4 linked regions of the Saccharomyces cerevisiae S288C genome follow. Changing the gene in region 3 together with the main gene of any one other region gives a genetic interaction. Each region holds a gene or a part of one and is shown on either strand. Other genes may lie near its edges. The genes, in order: PLB2, PAU13, CQD1 and THI3.

The links.
Region 1: mutations in CQD1 (region 3) and PLB2 together harm fitness more than expected from each alone (negative genetic interaction), as found in Saccharomyces cerevisiae (2 studies listed by BioGRID).
Region 2: mutations in CQD1 (region 3) and PAU13 together harm fitness more than expected from each alone (negative genetic interaction), as found in Saccharomyces cerevisiae (2 studies listed by BioGRID).
Region 4: mutations in CQD1 (region 3) and THI3 together harm fitness more than expected from each alone (negative genetic interaction), as found in Saccharomyces cerevisiae (2 studies listed by BioGRID).

The regions. Positions count from the first base shown.
Region 1 is NC_001145.3:277,061-281,348, forward strand, and holds PLB2 (lysophospholipase), read right to left. Parts: upstream 2,622-4,288; coding exon 501-2,621; downstream 1-500. Other genes in the region: TAF4 (Taf4p), read left to right, coding at 1-151; YMR007W (uncharacterized protein), read left to right, coding at 2,900-3,280; PLB1 (lysophospholipase), read right to left, coding at 3,530-4,288. UniProt on the Saccharomyces cerevisiae protein: Sequentially removes both fatty acyl groups from diacylglycerophospholipids and therefore has both phospholipase A and lysophospholipase activities. However, it does not display transacylase activity.
Region 2 is NC_001140.6:11,418-14,129, forward strand, and holds PAU13 (seripauperin PAU13), read right to left. Parts: upstream 869-2,712; coding exon 506-868; downstream 1-505. Other genes in the region: PXP3 (Pxp3p), read left to right, coding at 1,085-1,432; DFP4 (DUP240 family protein), read left to right, coding at 2,148-2,712.
Region 3 is NC_001148.4:344,719-349,136, forward strand, and holds CQD1 (Cqd1p), read right to left. Parts: upstream 2,672-4,418; coding exon 879-2,671; intron 727-878; coding exon 546-726; downstream 1-545. Other genes in the region: GDE1 (glycerophosphocholine phosphodiesterase), read right to left, coding at 1-21; YPL108W (uncharacterized protein), read left to right, coding at 3,728-4,234; DPC25 (Dpc25p), read left to right, coding at 4,401-4,418.
Region 4 is NC_001136.10:310,116-314,427, reverse strand, and holds THI3 (branched-chain-2-oxoacid decarboxylase THI3), read left to right. Parts: upstream 1-1,956; coding exon 1,957-3,786; downstream 3,787-4,312. Other genes in the region: putative serine/threonine protein kinase MRK1, read left to right, coding at 1-91, 384-1,477; ribosomal protein P1 RPP1A, read left to right, coding at 4,306-4,312. UniProt on the Saccharomyces cerevisiae protein: One of five 2-oxo acid decarboxylases (PDC1, PDC5, PDC6, ARO10, and THI3) involved in amino acid catabolism.

The sequences.
Region 1 (4,288 bases), on a different chromosome or scaffold from region 3:
CATCACGGCTAGAGGAGAAAGTGGGCTAAAGTTTAGAGAAGCTAGAGAGGAGCCTGGTATAGTAATGAGGGATTTACTCTTTGCTCTCGAAAATAGGCGCAACAGCGTTCAGACTATTATTTCAAAGGGTTATGCCAAGATCAGAGATTAATTGCTCATCTCTTATACTGTCTATAATATTTAAAGGTATAGTGTTTCAAATAAACTAGGATATAAAAAAAACAAGATTGACTAACATAAAGAAGGCCGGTTGGTGTCGCTTAGTCAAGTCATCGCCAAGCTATTGAGGACCATTCAACCTTTTTGCTTTGTTCATTTTAACTTTATAATAAGGAAGATATATCAATCCTTGAAGTTAGGCATCCTTCTACCAAAAATAGCGGAAAGAGGAGTGATAATCGGGAAAAAAATTTTCATATTAATACACATTTTTATACATTTACTTGTCATTATCCTTTTGGGTGAAAGGATGTATTATGTATTGTTTCTCAGAAGGGCTTCTAAATTAGTCCAAATAATGCTGTTATGGCACCTAACAAACTCATTAGAGTATTAGTGTTCGCATAGGAAATAGCCGCAGCATTCGCTTTGTTTGCCGTAGAGGAAGAAGAACGAGCTGTAGAGGAAGAAATTGAAGAGGATGAAGAATTTGAGTTTAAAGTTGTATTTGACGAAGAGTTTGAGTTAGAAGTGACATTTGATGAAGTCGAGGTTGTTGAGTTTGATGTAGTATTTCCGGAGGTTGATGAACCTAAGAGAGCCGTTATTGGAATACCGTCAGTAGCCTCAGAGATTGCAGAGGCAATAGCACCGCTTTGATACGTACTATTTCCCGATAGTTCAGGATTAGCTGAGGTACTTAGTGTGCCGTTCCAGCAGTAATCCGCAAAACATTTGGTACATTCAGGGGGCAAGGTGGCATTTAGGCTTTCTTGCTTACGTCTAATGATGGCACAACCTATGCAACCTAAAAAGTTAGAGTCATCCGTAAAGTTGCCCATTGTAGCAGCTTCAAAACCATTTCTGATCATTCCAAGACGTTCTGTAACATTGTAGTTCATCTTCAAAGTACTTTGGTTACCATTGAATGAATGTTTTGTGTTTGGGATATATACAACTAAAGGTGGAATATACTCCAAGTCCGTCAAATTTTTTGCATCACAACCAAAAAACGTTGGCTTATTAGTTAAGCCCAAGTTAAGGAAGGTGTTAACGTCTGGAACATATGGGAAAGCCATTCCTTTACCTTGCTTAGAATACTGGCGCTCATAAGTGTTCGTCATGCACACACCACTTGGCCATGATTCATCAGTATTGTCGGATATATCCAATGCGAACACCACATCCAAGTCACGTTCCTTCTTGATTAGTGGAACCAACGGCAAATTTTGGCCGTCCTCACCACCATCAACTAAAAACAAATCATCGGCATCAACAATACTGGAAGTGTAATTGCGGTCAACAAATTCTGTATCCTTGAATGGATTTGCAGCGTAAATTGCAATATCATCGTCATCTTGGGATAGGTTGTTAACGTACTTGTTGGCAAAACTATTAATCATTTTATAATAGGTCGAAGTGGAAGCTTCCAGGGAAAATTCGTTGAATAAACTGGCGGATGTGGCAATTACAAATCCAGCATTATCGTAACCAGAAACGCATTGATCCTTGTTGACCGGTTTACCATTTGTAACGTTGGTACCTAGATATTTCACATCCGTAAAAGCGTTCAAAGAAGGATCCCAAGAACCCATTTCAAATGGAGTGAACTCGAAAAGAGTGGCATTCAAGTTTATCACGGTGGTACCTGGGTATCTACCATCTGCAACAGTAATTGGTAAAGGCATTTCACCGTTTTTGAACACATCAACATCTCTCAAAGAGGACCAAGTCAAAGCGGAGCCAGCATCTGGCAAGCTTGGAAAGAAGTTGTAAGAAAGTGCACGGGCCCACAAATCCGACAAAGATATATTGAAGCCTGCATCAGACTTAGCCTGCACTTCTTGTACAATGGACTCCCATCTTTCAATTGTGTAGGTCAAATTAGAGCCACCAGGGTTCACAATGGATTTCGTGATATTCCAGATGGAATCGCTCTCACTCATATGGTCTACAATTTCCTGTACAGAGGTCCAATTGTTCCATGCCAAAGTACCAGTCAACCAGTTACCACCGGACAAACCCGATAGATACGTGGAACTTTGTAGTAAACCACCAAGACCATGCTCGTTAGCACCATCAGTACGATTGTCCATAGCAGCAATCATACCAGCACCACCCAACATGGCACGATAACCACCACCAGAGCATGCAATACCAATTTTGGGTACATTGGAAGAGTTACTACTGAAAAGAGTGGATAGCAAAGAAGTGTCACTGAAGTTAGAAGTAGCTCTGCTTAAGAAGGAATGTAAAGCTTCTTTAGTGTACGCATCTCTTTTCTTTAACCAATCAGTTTCAGCGGTAGATAAGCCAGACGCGTTTCTAACTAAAGAGGTATCATCACTGGGACAAGGAATTATTGATGGAGCATAACCATCACCAGTAGTGGACGACGAATCTGCAGCGAGCGAAAGTCCAGAAATTAGCGAGCTAGCCTGTAATATGTTCCGTAATTGCATCTGCGTAAGAAGTGTTACTTTACCAGCGCGAGTGAATTTTAACTCACTTCTAACCCTTGATAAGATTTGAAGGCACACTAAGGAAAAACAAGCTAAAAGACATTTCTAACGCCTTGTAAAGATAACTAATTGTGCTCATATATAAGGTATATTCTACTCCACATGAGATACGAAAAGAAGAAGATTCTCAGACTATTTAACTCTTTGTCCTTTTTTTACCTTTTTTTTGATTTTTTTTTCACTTTCTTCTGTTGGTAAACAATGCCAAGGTGGAGAATATGCGGAAGAAATGTCCGCAAGGTAAAAAATTGTTGAAAAAGGCGACGCGTCCCTTTGTAGGAGCTTTTCGAAGGCGTATACGAGCCAAGAAAAACCTTATTTCCCAGTTTGGCCAGACCGGCTGCATTGGGTGCGACGGTAAATTCTCTATAGGCATCACCATTGAAAAGTATGTCCTTAATTTAGTCGTGAGAATCATCATTGTGTTCGCCCTTTGTCGTATAACCGAATTGAGTGTCTTTGATTCATCTCTAAGGTGTAAAAGCAGAAAAACCAGATTATCTAAAGCTGCAAGAAAGAAAGAAACTGATCATTTTCATGAACAGTGCAGATATGTGGAAGTGAAATTTGGCCTGCAGATGGCATATCTGCAATCCTAGCTTTTTCCTTCTGCACTTTAAACCTATCTATATATCTTCGATGAAAGTACTGCATGAACATATCTGTATAGATAGATATATGTAGGGAAGACACCCGGTATGTAAATGTTAATGCTCGTAAGATTTCGAGTTTGTAAAAATAAGATGCGGTATGCACTTGAGATCTCGTAAACTATTTGTATGTTGATATTTTTGCGCTTTTCTCACTCTCGTATTCTTTTAGAAAAGAAATAGAAACGAAGAAAGAGCCTAAATTAGACCGAAGACGGCACTAATGACACTTAAGACACCAATAAAAGTGTTAGTGTTTAAGTTAGAATAATTCACCAAAGCATTGCCCGCATTTTTCTTATGAGTGGAAGACCCAGAAGCAGAGGCAGAGGCGGAAGCAGAGGCAGAGGCAGAGGCAGAGGCAGCAGCGGCGGAGGCAGACAAGGAAGCAGAAGAAGAATAATCATCATTTCCTACACCTGAGACTGACCTGCTGTCAATAGTACCGTTCCAGCAGTAGTTGGTAAAACACTGGCTGCATTCAGAGGGCAATGTAGCATTCAAGTTTTGTTGCTTACGTCTGATAATGGCGCAACCAACACAGCCCAAGAAATCAGAATCATCAGTAAAATTACCCATTGTGGCAGCTTCAAACCCATTCTTAATCATACCAAGACGTTCTGAATCGGAGTATGACATCTTAAAAGTACTTTGGTTACCATTAAATGAATGTCTTGAATTTGGAATGTAAACAATTAATGGTGGAATGTACTCCAAGTCTGTCAAATTTCTTGCATCACAACCAAAAAAGGTTGGCTTTTTGTTCAACCCCAAGTTGACAAATGTGTTCACATCTGGAACATATGGGAAAGACAAATTGAGACCTTGGCTGCCAAATTGACGCTGATAAGTGTTAACTAATGAAGCACCATCTGGCCAATAGTCGTCAGTATCAGCAGAATTGTCTAATGCAAAAATAACATCTAGTTCACGTTCCTTTTGCAACAATGGAACTAA
Region 2 (2,712 bases), on a different chromosome or scaffold from region 3:
AATAACTATAGCTGGACTAATTAAGACTTCAAGGACGTCTTACGCAAGCGTGGGTGATTTTATTATTAAACAATTTTTCTGTCTCTATACGCATATATGTTCTATAACATAAATATGTAATGGATACTAACCTTTTTCTGTGATTAACTTACTCTTTGCGTTACACCTCCATCTGACTCATAAAACAGGAAGACTCAGATTTATTAACTTTAGCATTTACGCCGCAAATGGTAAATGCTCCGGCCCGATACCCTGAAATAGCAACATGTACGAAAGAAGGTATTCAACTGAAGCCTTTTAGACAGACAAGACTATTGGATTATCAAGGCACTATATTTTACCACTACAGTAAATACTTCTGATAAGAACGGCATGAATAATCAAGTAGGTTTTATAATACTGGTATACATTAATATAATCAACTATTTATACTATCAAAAAAAAAAGCTTTTTTTTTTTTGTTTTTTTAAGTTTTATGGAATTTCATTCGTAAAGGCGTTTGTCTCTAGTTTGTGATAGTGTAGATACCGTCCTTGGATAGAGCACTGGAGATGGCTGGCTTTAATCTGCTGGAGTACCATGGAACACCGGTGATCATTCTGGTCACTTGGTCTGGGGCAATACCAGTCAACATGGTGGTGAAGTCACCGTAGTTGAAAACGGCTTCAGCAACTTCAACCGGGTAGGTTTCAGTTGGGTGGGCGGCTTGGAACATGTAGTATTGGGCCAAGTGAGCTCTGATATCAGAGACGTAGACACCCAATTCAACCAAGTTGACTCTTTCGTCAGATTGAGCTAGAGTGGTGGTTGCGGAAGCAGTAGCAGCGATGGCAGCGACACCAGCGGCGATTGAAGTTAGTTTGACCATTGTATTTGTTATGTTTGTTATGTTTGTTAGTGCTGATATAAGCTTAACAGGAAGGGAAGGAATAAAGACATATTCTCAAAGGCATATAGTTGAAGCAGCTCTATTTATACCCATGCCTTCATCAGTCATCACTACTTAAACGATTCGTTAACAGACGCTCATTTAGTACCTCGCATATTCTCCATATCTCATCTTTCACAGAATTTGATTATCACTATGAAGATGTTATTGTTTTTAAACGAGGCATGCATCTTTATAGATTCCGTATGCGAAGGTATTGTTTTCTGGGGCCTTTGTCTATTCGTATGCGCAGAATGTGGGAATGCCTATTATAGGGGTGCCAGAGTGCCTTATAAAACCCTTTTCCGTGCCTTTGAAGTTTCCGTTTTCGGTCAAAAAGAATATCCGAATTTTAGATTTGGACCCTCGTACAGATTCTTATGTTTAAGCCCATATTCAATTTGCTGTAAACAGCCTCCAATGGAAGAGGTAATACTATATTATCCCTCTCCTGATAGTTTAATTAAAAATAGAAAACGTGTATTGGGAGTCGCTTATTTGTAGAGTTTGTAGTTTTTAAGCGTTCTCAGGAAATTCATTGACGCAATTACGTAATTGTAGGCCGCTGAGAAGCAGCTAGTATTGGAAGAGCCGCGTATGGTAAAAAAAAAATGTTGAGTTCAGTTTGTAGCAGTACTACAACTCTGTGCGGTGGGAAAAATTTATTCTTCGAGGCACAGTATTTTTCTTCTAGCTAGATATAAAGAAAAGTGAAAAAGGCAATATATGGCGCTAATGTATTTTATTCAATTAAAAACTTTCTGTAGGAAATGGTATTAATAGTTGGTATTCCTTGTAGACAAAACCATCGCTATATTCATGGTGACGGCTCATCTCTAAAGCTTCTTAAATGTACAGTCAGCTAAGTGTTCTCATAAGAAAGGGTTTGAAGAAGTCTCCGATAGCGTGCTTTAGTATGTTGACGAAAGAAATCAAGATCTAGCTTATATGTCATAATGAAGTAAGTTATATTGGAGTTTTTCTGGTAAATTCTACAAAAGTTATGCAACATACTTATTTCTGTCCTCTTCTTACTCGTCTTGCGGCCAAAACTCGAAGAAAAACATACGGGCCAAGAAAAATGATGCAATCCTCCCAGTTCTAGATATTCCCGCTTTTAAGTCCCGAATTATAACAATATAAAAAGGATATAGAAAATGTAATTGTTAACTTGTGGTATAAAGACAAATTCAAAAGCAAGTGAGGGCCCGCTAAGGCTATGAGTTCAGAATTATTAATATCTAATTCTAAACCAAGACCAGAAGGATTAAGAAAATTATGCGAAGGTGAGACAGTGATCCTTCCAAGGGACATAACCCCCAGCAAATGCGCTTATTTCTTAAAACAGAATATCGTATTCATTTCATATATTTTCATCCATATTATTATTACCATAATCTTAAACCGCCTGGCATTATCTGCACACGGTAATACTTTGATTATTATCTTAGCGGCTTTACTAATTACAATTTCACTATTCCTTTTACTCCTCTTACCTTACTTAAGCTGCTCAAGATATAAGTTAAGATGTTTAGATGATGATTGTAAGTTCAAACTATTAGCGGAAGTCATTACACATAAACCTAACATGGACTTGAGCACATGGGACCGGATTGCATATGACATGAACCAATTTGTATATGACCGTCGTATATGTGCAGATAGATCTTTTTTCTACGATGGCAGTTATTGCTATCAGGTTTTTAAAAAGTTGGTGGCTACCCCGTACCTTGTGAATTCCAATATGAATAGTATATATGCTGATCTGGAGATGAGAAGTAATG
Region 3 (4,418 bases):
AAAGGTTTTTCCGAACTTCATTGATTATATTGTTTGATTATATAAAGACCTTACAGTTTCAGTAGTTTGTCACCTTAGTTGGAGATAGTGGCTATTTTTGTGTAATTTGATGAGGGTTCCCTTCTTAGTTGGGTTTAAATTTTTTGCTACCGTTGCCTTATTGTTCAATGAAGCACTAATTGCAAAACTTAAACTCTTTAATAGTCTCACTTTGTAAGACAATAATTTATTTTTTACTTCTGTCAGCCAACGCTCTCTTTTTAATATAATGTGCACGTTCTAAAAATAATTCTCTTATTCAGTTGGCGCTATTAAGTGAATTAGAAACGTTTTGACGAAATTTACTATTAAAAGAACACTACGAGTCGATAATGACAGCACTGGTCTAAATTTCAGCTAGAGCAACAGCAAATTATTATTTGTCACTTAAATAAACTTGGTCGTTTTTTTGGAGAGCTAATATGTTGGGACAGCGTGTGTAACATTGCTCCACCTGCGAACACGTGGAAGTCGCAATTATAAAAGATGCATAAAAAGAAAGAATATTAATAATTAGGACACAATTGATCAGTCCTGACAAGATCGTATATTTGCTTCATCGAGAGATGCATTAATTGACGCACTTCTAAACCAACCCATATCTTGAGCATTGATAATGTGCTTGCATCTTTCAAGAGACTTTTGGCTTCCCGCTTAAACCCGAATTCACGTAATATAGGCAGCGAACTGTTTACGAAGAGAAGTTACAAGATGTGGGTATTTTTGTTAGTAAAAGAATTTCTTTAGTAGCAATAAAAAGCAAAAAAAAGCAATAGAAAAGGGTTTTAAAAAATTGATGTTATTCTTTAAAACCGTTAATCCATGCGTAAAATACGAACCTTTCAAATAAGTCCAAGTTTGGATCTAACTGGCGTCCAATACCCTCTAGAAGTAAAATAGCGACCACCACGGAAACAAAGTCGGACTCCATTCTAACATGGTGCGACCTTACCATACTAAGCATTTGATCGAGTAAATCGCCAATTGAGACGGTTCCCAATGTAAATGTTCTTTGTTTAACTTTATCCACTAGCTTTTCTACCTTAAACGCAAATACTTCCTTATCAATAGCTGTTTCTGGAGTTCTTGATCTCTCAATCATCAACTCACCAGCTCTATAACCATCAAATCGGGCCAATGCGTTGAATAGAGCTATGAAATTAATTCTGTTTTTTTCATTCAATTCTGTAATTATTCCTGTATCGATAAAACAAATTTGGGGAGTGTAATTAGTTAATACAGACTTCAGTTTTCCAACAAAGTCCTGATCTTGGTCCTCCTCTATCTTCTTCCTCAGGTCGTGCGTTATTCTGTACGATTCAAGTTCGGAGGATATAATGTTTGTGCCGTATTTGTTCGTCTTCACAAATCTGATTATAACATTGCCTGGATGCAAATCAGCATGAACAAAATCATCAAGAATTAGCATTTGTAGAAACGCGTCAACGAAGGGATCACTGACTTTTTTACAAAGTTCAACGTCGTTAATTTGCTTCTTCGTAGATAAAAACTTTTCCATGGAAAGACCATATACATGCTCTTCGAACATAACATCCCTATTTGACAAGGGGAGAAATGGTTTAGGAAATTTCACCTGAATAGAATTTTTAAAGTTCTCATTGAATCTTTCCAGGTTTAACGCCTCAATTCTTAGATCCAACTGAATATTCATTAATATGGAAAACTGATCGACTTCGCTGGGTAAAGACAGCCATTCCATAGTCGGAATCCAATTTATTGCGTCAGCACAGAATTTCATTATTTTCAAATCTCTCCGGATCTGAGATCTTACATTTGGATGCAAGATCTTGATGGCACACCAACGATTTCCATCCTTACCAATTTGTATATTGTCATATTTATCGATGTACTTTTGGGATAGTTCACCCACGTAAACTTGTGCGATGGACCCAACTCCAATTGGTGTTCGATTAAATTCATCAAAAGCATCTTCGATCTTGTCAACCTTTAATGCTTGAGAAAGTTTTTCCAGAGTAAAGCTTAGAGAGTGAGCTGTAACGTTACTATGCAATTTACCCAACTCATGACACAGTGCGTGAGAGAATATATCGGTTCTCGATCCTGCCCATTGTCCGAGTTTAATGAAACTCGGGCCAGCCAATTCCAATGCTTTACGCAGTAGTTGACACCAAATCAATGAACCTCGAGTTTCAGTTATATTGGTGTCCGTAATTTTGAGTTTATGACCAAACCATGATATGGGGTATAATAGGAGAAGAGGTAAAAAAATAGCTGAAATTTCTAAAAACCTTAAAATCGTGCATACAGGCTCAACAATATTATCATTAAAACCGAACCAAAAGATTCTTAGATATCTTATTAATTTATTTCGTGATTCAGTGATCTTAGCAGACCTGAAAGATTTAAGCTTTTCCTGCAATTCGTTTTCTGAGGAAACGTAGAGGCCCATTTCAAAAGTATCACCTTTGGGATCCGGTTTTAGAGAATCATTGTATATCAAACAATTTTGTTTTGGAAACGAATTTTGTGTCAAATAAAAAGCAATTGACGTAGGTATTATGAACTGTCTTATAGGTATTTTATGAAAATGCCGTGTGGACTTGCTATAGTATCGCCAAGAGTTTCTATAAGCGAACTTTAAAAATGACATTGCCCAGATGGTTCTGATGTTCTTTATCTCTATTCTGTGAGGGTTTGATATTGATGAGTAGGTAGAAGATATGGTATAAGGTATTTTCTATAACATCAAACATCTTTTCTTTTTCATCAAATGAGTGAAAAGGTATTATTGCCCCTCATATATTCGGGGTTATTTATTTTTCGTTGCTTGAAGTAAAGCCTTTAATACACACTTAGTATTTAAACACTTAAGATTTACGAATCACAGATTCTAAATTTGTATTTAATAAATTGATTCTAAGTACAGGAAGTATCAAGGGGGGGGGTTGACAGATAGAATCACACCTTGATTAATTTAGTTCCTGATGAACAAGCCAACTTGACCAATCAAACCCTTTCGCGGCACTTTTTCTCTTAGCTCTGCTTGATACATCGACTGGGAACTTCTTCTCTTTGAGCCAACTAACCTCAATCCCTTAAAGATTTTGTAAACCGCAGAAACACCTGGTTGTTTTCGCTTGTTGGCAAAGGTTAATAACACAGTAACTTTCAATCTTGTTCCGAAGTGCAGAGTGCAGTTCCCTGTGTGTTCAAGTGACATACGGCATTTGAATACACTACACTTATCGTCATGTCAAAACAAGTGTTATAGAAGCAGCGTTAATATAATATTAGTACCTGTACAGTTTTAAACTCAATTGAGTGCAAAGATCTGATGCATCCCATTTTAGTTTCTCATAAATTATTGCTTTGGTTCATAGTTCAATTGTAAGCATTATTAAAACAACTGCTTCTATTTAGACAATACAAGAACGCGATCTTTCCAGTAACTGCCTAATCTGAAATTATGTTTTTCAGTTGCGCCTGTGGCCTACACAACTTGCATAATAAGCAGTTAAAAATAACTCCTAATCTTACTAATCTTGTCGAACTAGACTAGCTGTAATGATCTGTCATATATAAGTTAATATTCAACATCGACTGTAATTGTCAATTCAATCTTGACAGCAACGATTGAAGTCATCGCCTCGCCGTAATTGAAAAAAAAATGTAAGATGAATAACAGCTAAGAAAGATAATAATTTTTATGAAAGAAGCATCTGATAGAGAAGAAGCACCAAAAATGGTGGAAAAAAACTATAGTACAGGTTTTAGGAAAGCCCACGGAGAGAAGGATCAATCAGTGACTAAGCCAATCTCGTTAGATGGTAGAACAGGTGAAGTAATTGTTAGAAAATCCACCGGGAAAACTAAAATACGTAAAGGTCAAACGGAAGAAGAGTATACACAGCAATTGCAGCACTACTTCGAAGTAGAACAAGGCCCTGTGCGGACAAAGGTAGGATGGATGGATGAGGTAGATCCCTTGGTTGAGATCCGGGAAGGCAAGTACGATATCTCCAATAAGCATCAGCGACAGGTGCTTAGTGGTTTCTGCCATCGTTTATTTTACCAATGTAAGTACAAGGAGTGTCTGGATCTCAGCACCTATTTTCTGGGGCTCTTTGAACCGTTCAACGTGAAGAATAAAATGAAGAGGGAGCTTGAAGAGTTGGAATATATGATCGAGCGATGTCGTGGGCATGTATTATAAGCCCGAATCAGATACTCAAATTTGAAAAAAGATATCTTTCTCCTCCGACATGGCCGAACTCATTTACATAAATAGCATAAATTAAACAGAATAATAATACGTAAATTACAACAGTCAGAGGGTGCATGAAACCGTCATTAGATAGAGACGTGATCAAAAGTAGAAAATGATAAGAAATCAGGGA
Region 4 (4,312 bases), on a different chromosome or scaffold from region 3:
CACGAAAATATTAGTAGCAAGCTTAGTAAAGAGAAGGTTGAGAAAATGATTAATTTTGATTATAGGTATATTAAAACCAAGGAAAGGACTAGTATGTATAATTATTTTTTATTTTTTTTTTTTATGTTCTTGCCAGTGGAGGAATGTTTCTTTCGTCACAACCGGAGTGAATAGTGGAACTACTGTCAGTTCATAGTATCGCGACACAAAAAAAAATAATTAAAAGAAAAAAAAAGAGAGTGTAAAATAAAGATTTATGAAATTGCATCCCTAATCTTAGAAACTTGCTTACGAAATATCAGGAAGCATAGCGGAACATTTTTCCATATTACATCAACTACCATTTTTTATGGGAATCACATTATATACTAACATAGGTTTAGTTCATAAACGGGTTTATAAACATGACCGCAAAACTGATGTCGACCGAAAAAATCATGGAGGAACTATCGACATCAGTTATCCTACGACAGAAGTGGTTGGCCATGGTTCATTTGGTGTTGTAGTCACGACTGTAATAATTGAGACCAATCAAAAAGTTGCCATAAAGAAAGTACTACAAGATAGAAGATATAAAAATAGGGAGCTCGAAACTATGAAGATGTTGTGCCATCCAAATACTGTGGGTCTACAGTACTACTTTTACGAAAAGGACGAAGAAGATGAAGTATACCTCAATCTGGTTTTGGACTACATGCCTCAGTCGTTATACCAAAGGCTTCGTCATTTTGTTAATTTGAAAATGCAGATGCCGCGTGTTGAAATTAAATTCTATGCATACCAACTATTCAAAGCTTTAAACTATTTGCATAACGTTCCTCGAATCTGTCACAGAGATATAAAACCGCAAAACCTACTGGTGGATCCGACAACTTTTTCTTTCAAGATTTGCGATTTTGGCAGTGCCAAATGCTTGAAACCGGATCAGCCTAATGTGTCTTACATCTGTTCAAGGTACTATAGGGCTCCCGAACTCATGTTTGGTGCCACTAATTACTCAAACCAGGTCGACGTGTGGTCAAGCGCTTGTGTCATTGCTGAGTTGCTTTTGGGCAAGCCCTTGTTCTCTGGTGAAAGCGGTATAGATCAGTTGGTGGAAATTATTAAGATAATGGGCATACCCACAAAGGATGAAATTTCAGGAATGAACCCAAATTATGAAGACCATGTTTTCCCCAATATCAAGCCCATTACTTTGGCTGAAATATTCAAAGCCGAAGATCCCGATACTCTTGACTTGTTAACAAAAACTCTGAAGTATCACCCTTGCGAAAGATTGGTACCTCTACAATGTCTATTATCAAGCTATTTTGACGAAACCAAACGTTGTGATACCGACACTTACGTAAAAGCACAAAACCTGCGTATATTTGACTTCGACGTGGAAACTGAGTTGGGCCATGTTCCACTTGTGGAACGGCCCGCCATTGAAGAACGGTTGAAACATTTTGTTTCTGCACCTTCATCGTCTTTGTGATATATCTCATCCTTCAAATTTCTTAGTCTATTGTATCATTACTATTACATAATATGCATTTGTCTTCTGCACACAGATACACAGCGTATGCAGTTAACCTAACGTATAACGACCGTCCTCTTTCCTTCATTTAATTTCACTTGCTGCTTTTCTAGGCAGCGGTCGCCCAAATTTTCACCGGCCACAAGCGTATGACTGCATATGCAGAACCTTGGCAACTGTAAGAACTCCTATGTTTCTTTATTGCAAACAGTTGCTAAAAGCACTCACATAGAAGAAAAATTGATGAAACTTGCGATGCATTGAACAAATTTCCCTTTCTTCATACTTTACGGCATAGTAATCTTTGAACCTTTTGGTAAGCACCAAATTCGTAATTCATTATCGATATTGTGTAGAAAAGAGTAAAATATAATAAAACGAAAAAAAAAAGGTTTGAAAGAACATAACTACTAAAACGCACCGTCGTCATTCTGAAGATGAATTCTAGCTATACACAGAGATATGCACTGCCGAAGTGTATAGCAATATCAGATTATCTTTTCCATCGGCTCAACCAGCTGAACATACATACCATATTTGGACTCTCCGGAGAATTTAGCATGCCGTTGCTGGATAAACTATACAACATTCCGAACTTACGATGGGCCGGTAATTCTAATGAGTTAAATGCTGCCTACGCAGCAGATGGATACTCACGACTAAAAGGCTTGGGATGTCTCATAACAACCTTTGGTGTAGGCGAATTATCGGCAATCAATGGCGTGGCCGGATCTTACGCTGAACATGTAGGAATACTTCACATAGTGGGTATGCCGCCAACAAGTGCACAAACGAAACAACTACTACTGCATCATACTCTGGGCAATGGTGATTTCACGGTATTTCATAGAATAGCCAGTGATGTAGCATGCTATACAACATTGATTATTGACTCTGAATTATGTGCCGACGAAGTCGATAAGTGCATCAAAAAGGCTTGGATAGAACAGAGGCCAGTATACATGGGCATGCCTGTCAACCAGGTAAATCTCCCGATTGAATCAGCAAGGCTTAATACACCTCTGGATTTACAATTGCATAAAAACGACCCAGACGTAGAGAAAGAAGTTATTTCTCGAATATTGAGTTTTATATACAAAAGCCAGAATCCGGCAATCATCGTAGATGCATGTACTAGTCGACAGAATTTAATCGAGGAGACTAAAGAGCTTTGTAATAGGCTTAAATTTCCAGTTTTTGTTACACCTATGGGTAAGGGTACAGTAAACGAAACAGACCCGCAATTTGGGGGCGTATTCACGGGCTCGATATCAGCCCCAGAAGTAAGAGAAGTAGTTGATTTTGCCGATTTTATCATCGTCATTGGTTGCATGCTCTCCGAATTCAGCACGTCAACTTTCCACTTCCAATATAAAACTAAGAATTGTGCGCTACTATATTCTACATCTGTGAAATTGAAAAATGCCACATATCCTGACTTGAGCATTAAATTACTACTACAGAAAATATTAGCAAATCTTGATGAATCTAAACTGTCTTACCAACCAAGCGAACAACCCAGTATGATGGTTCCAAGACCTTACCCAGCAGGAAATGTCCTCTTGAGACAAGAATGGGTCTGGAATGAAATATCCCATTGGTTCCAACCAGGTGACATAATCATAACAGAAACTGGTGCTTCTGCATTTGGAGTTAACCAGACCAGATTTCCGGTAAATACACTAGGTATTTCGCAAGCTCTTTGGGGATCTGTCGGATATACAATGGGGGCGTGTCTTGGGGCAGAATTTGCTGTTCAAGAGATAAACAAGGATAAATTCCCCGCAACTAAACATAGAGTTATTCTGTTTATGGGTGACGGTGCTTTCCAATTGACAGTTCAAGAATTATCCACAATTGTTAAGTGGGGATTGACACCTTATATTTTTGTGATGAATAACCAAGGTTACTCTGTGGACAGGTTTTTGCATCACAGGTCAGATGCTAGTTATTACGATATCCAACCTTGGAACTACTTGGGATTATTGCGAGTATTTGGTTGCACGAACTACGAAACGAAAAAAATTATTACTGTTGGAGAATTCAGATCCATGATCAGTGACCCAAACTTTGCGACCAATGACAAAATTCGGATGATAGAGATTATGCTACCACCAAGGGATGTTCCACAGGCTCTGCTTGACAGGTGGGTGGTAGAAAAAGAACAGAGCAAACAAGTGCAAGAGGAGAACGAAAATTCTAGCGCAGTAAATACGCCAACTCCAGAATTCCAACCACTTCTAAAAAAAAATCAAGTTGGATACTGATCTGATCTCTCCGCCCTACTACCAGGGACCCTCATGATTACCGCTCGAATGCGACGTTTCCTGCCTCATAAAACTGGCTTGAAAATATTTATTCGCTGAACAGTAGCCTAGCTTATAAAAATTTCATTTAATTAATGTAATATGAAAACTCACATGCCTTCTGTTTCTAAAATTGTCACAGCAAGAAATAACATTACCATACGTGATCTTATTAAACTCTAGTATCTTGTCTAATACTTCATTTAAAAGAAGCCTTAACCCTGTAGCCTCATCTATGTCTGCTACATATCGTGAGGTACGAATATCGTAAGATGATACCACGCAACTTTGTAATGATTTTTTTTTTTTCATTTTTTAAAGAATGCCTTTACATGGTATTTGAAAAAAATATCTTTATAAAGTTTGCGATCTCTTCTGTTCTGAATAATTTTTAGTAAAAGAAATCAAAAGAATAAAGAAATAGTCCGCTTTGTCCAATACAACAGCTTAAACCGATTATCTCTAAAATAACAAGAAGAAATGTCTA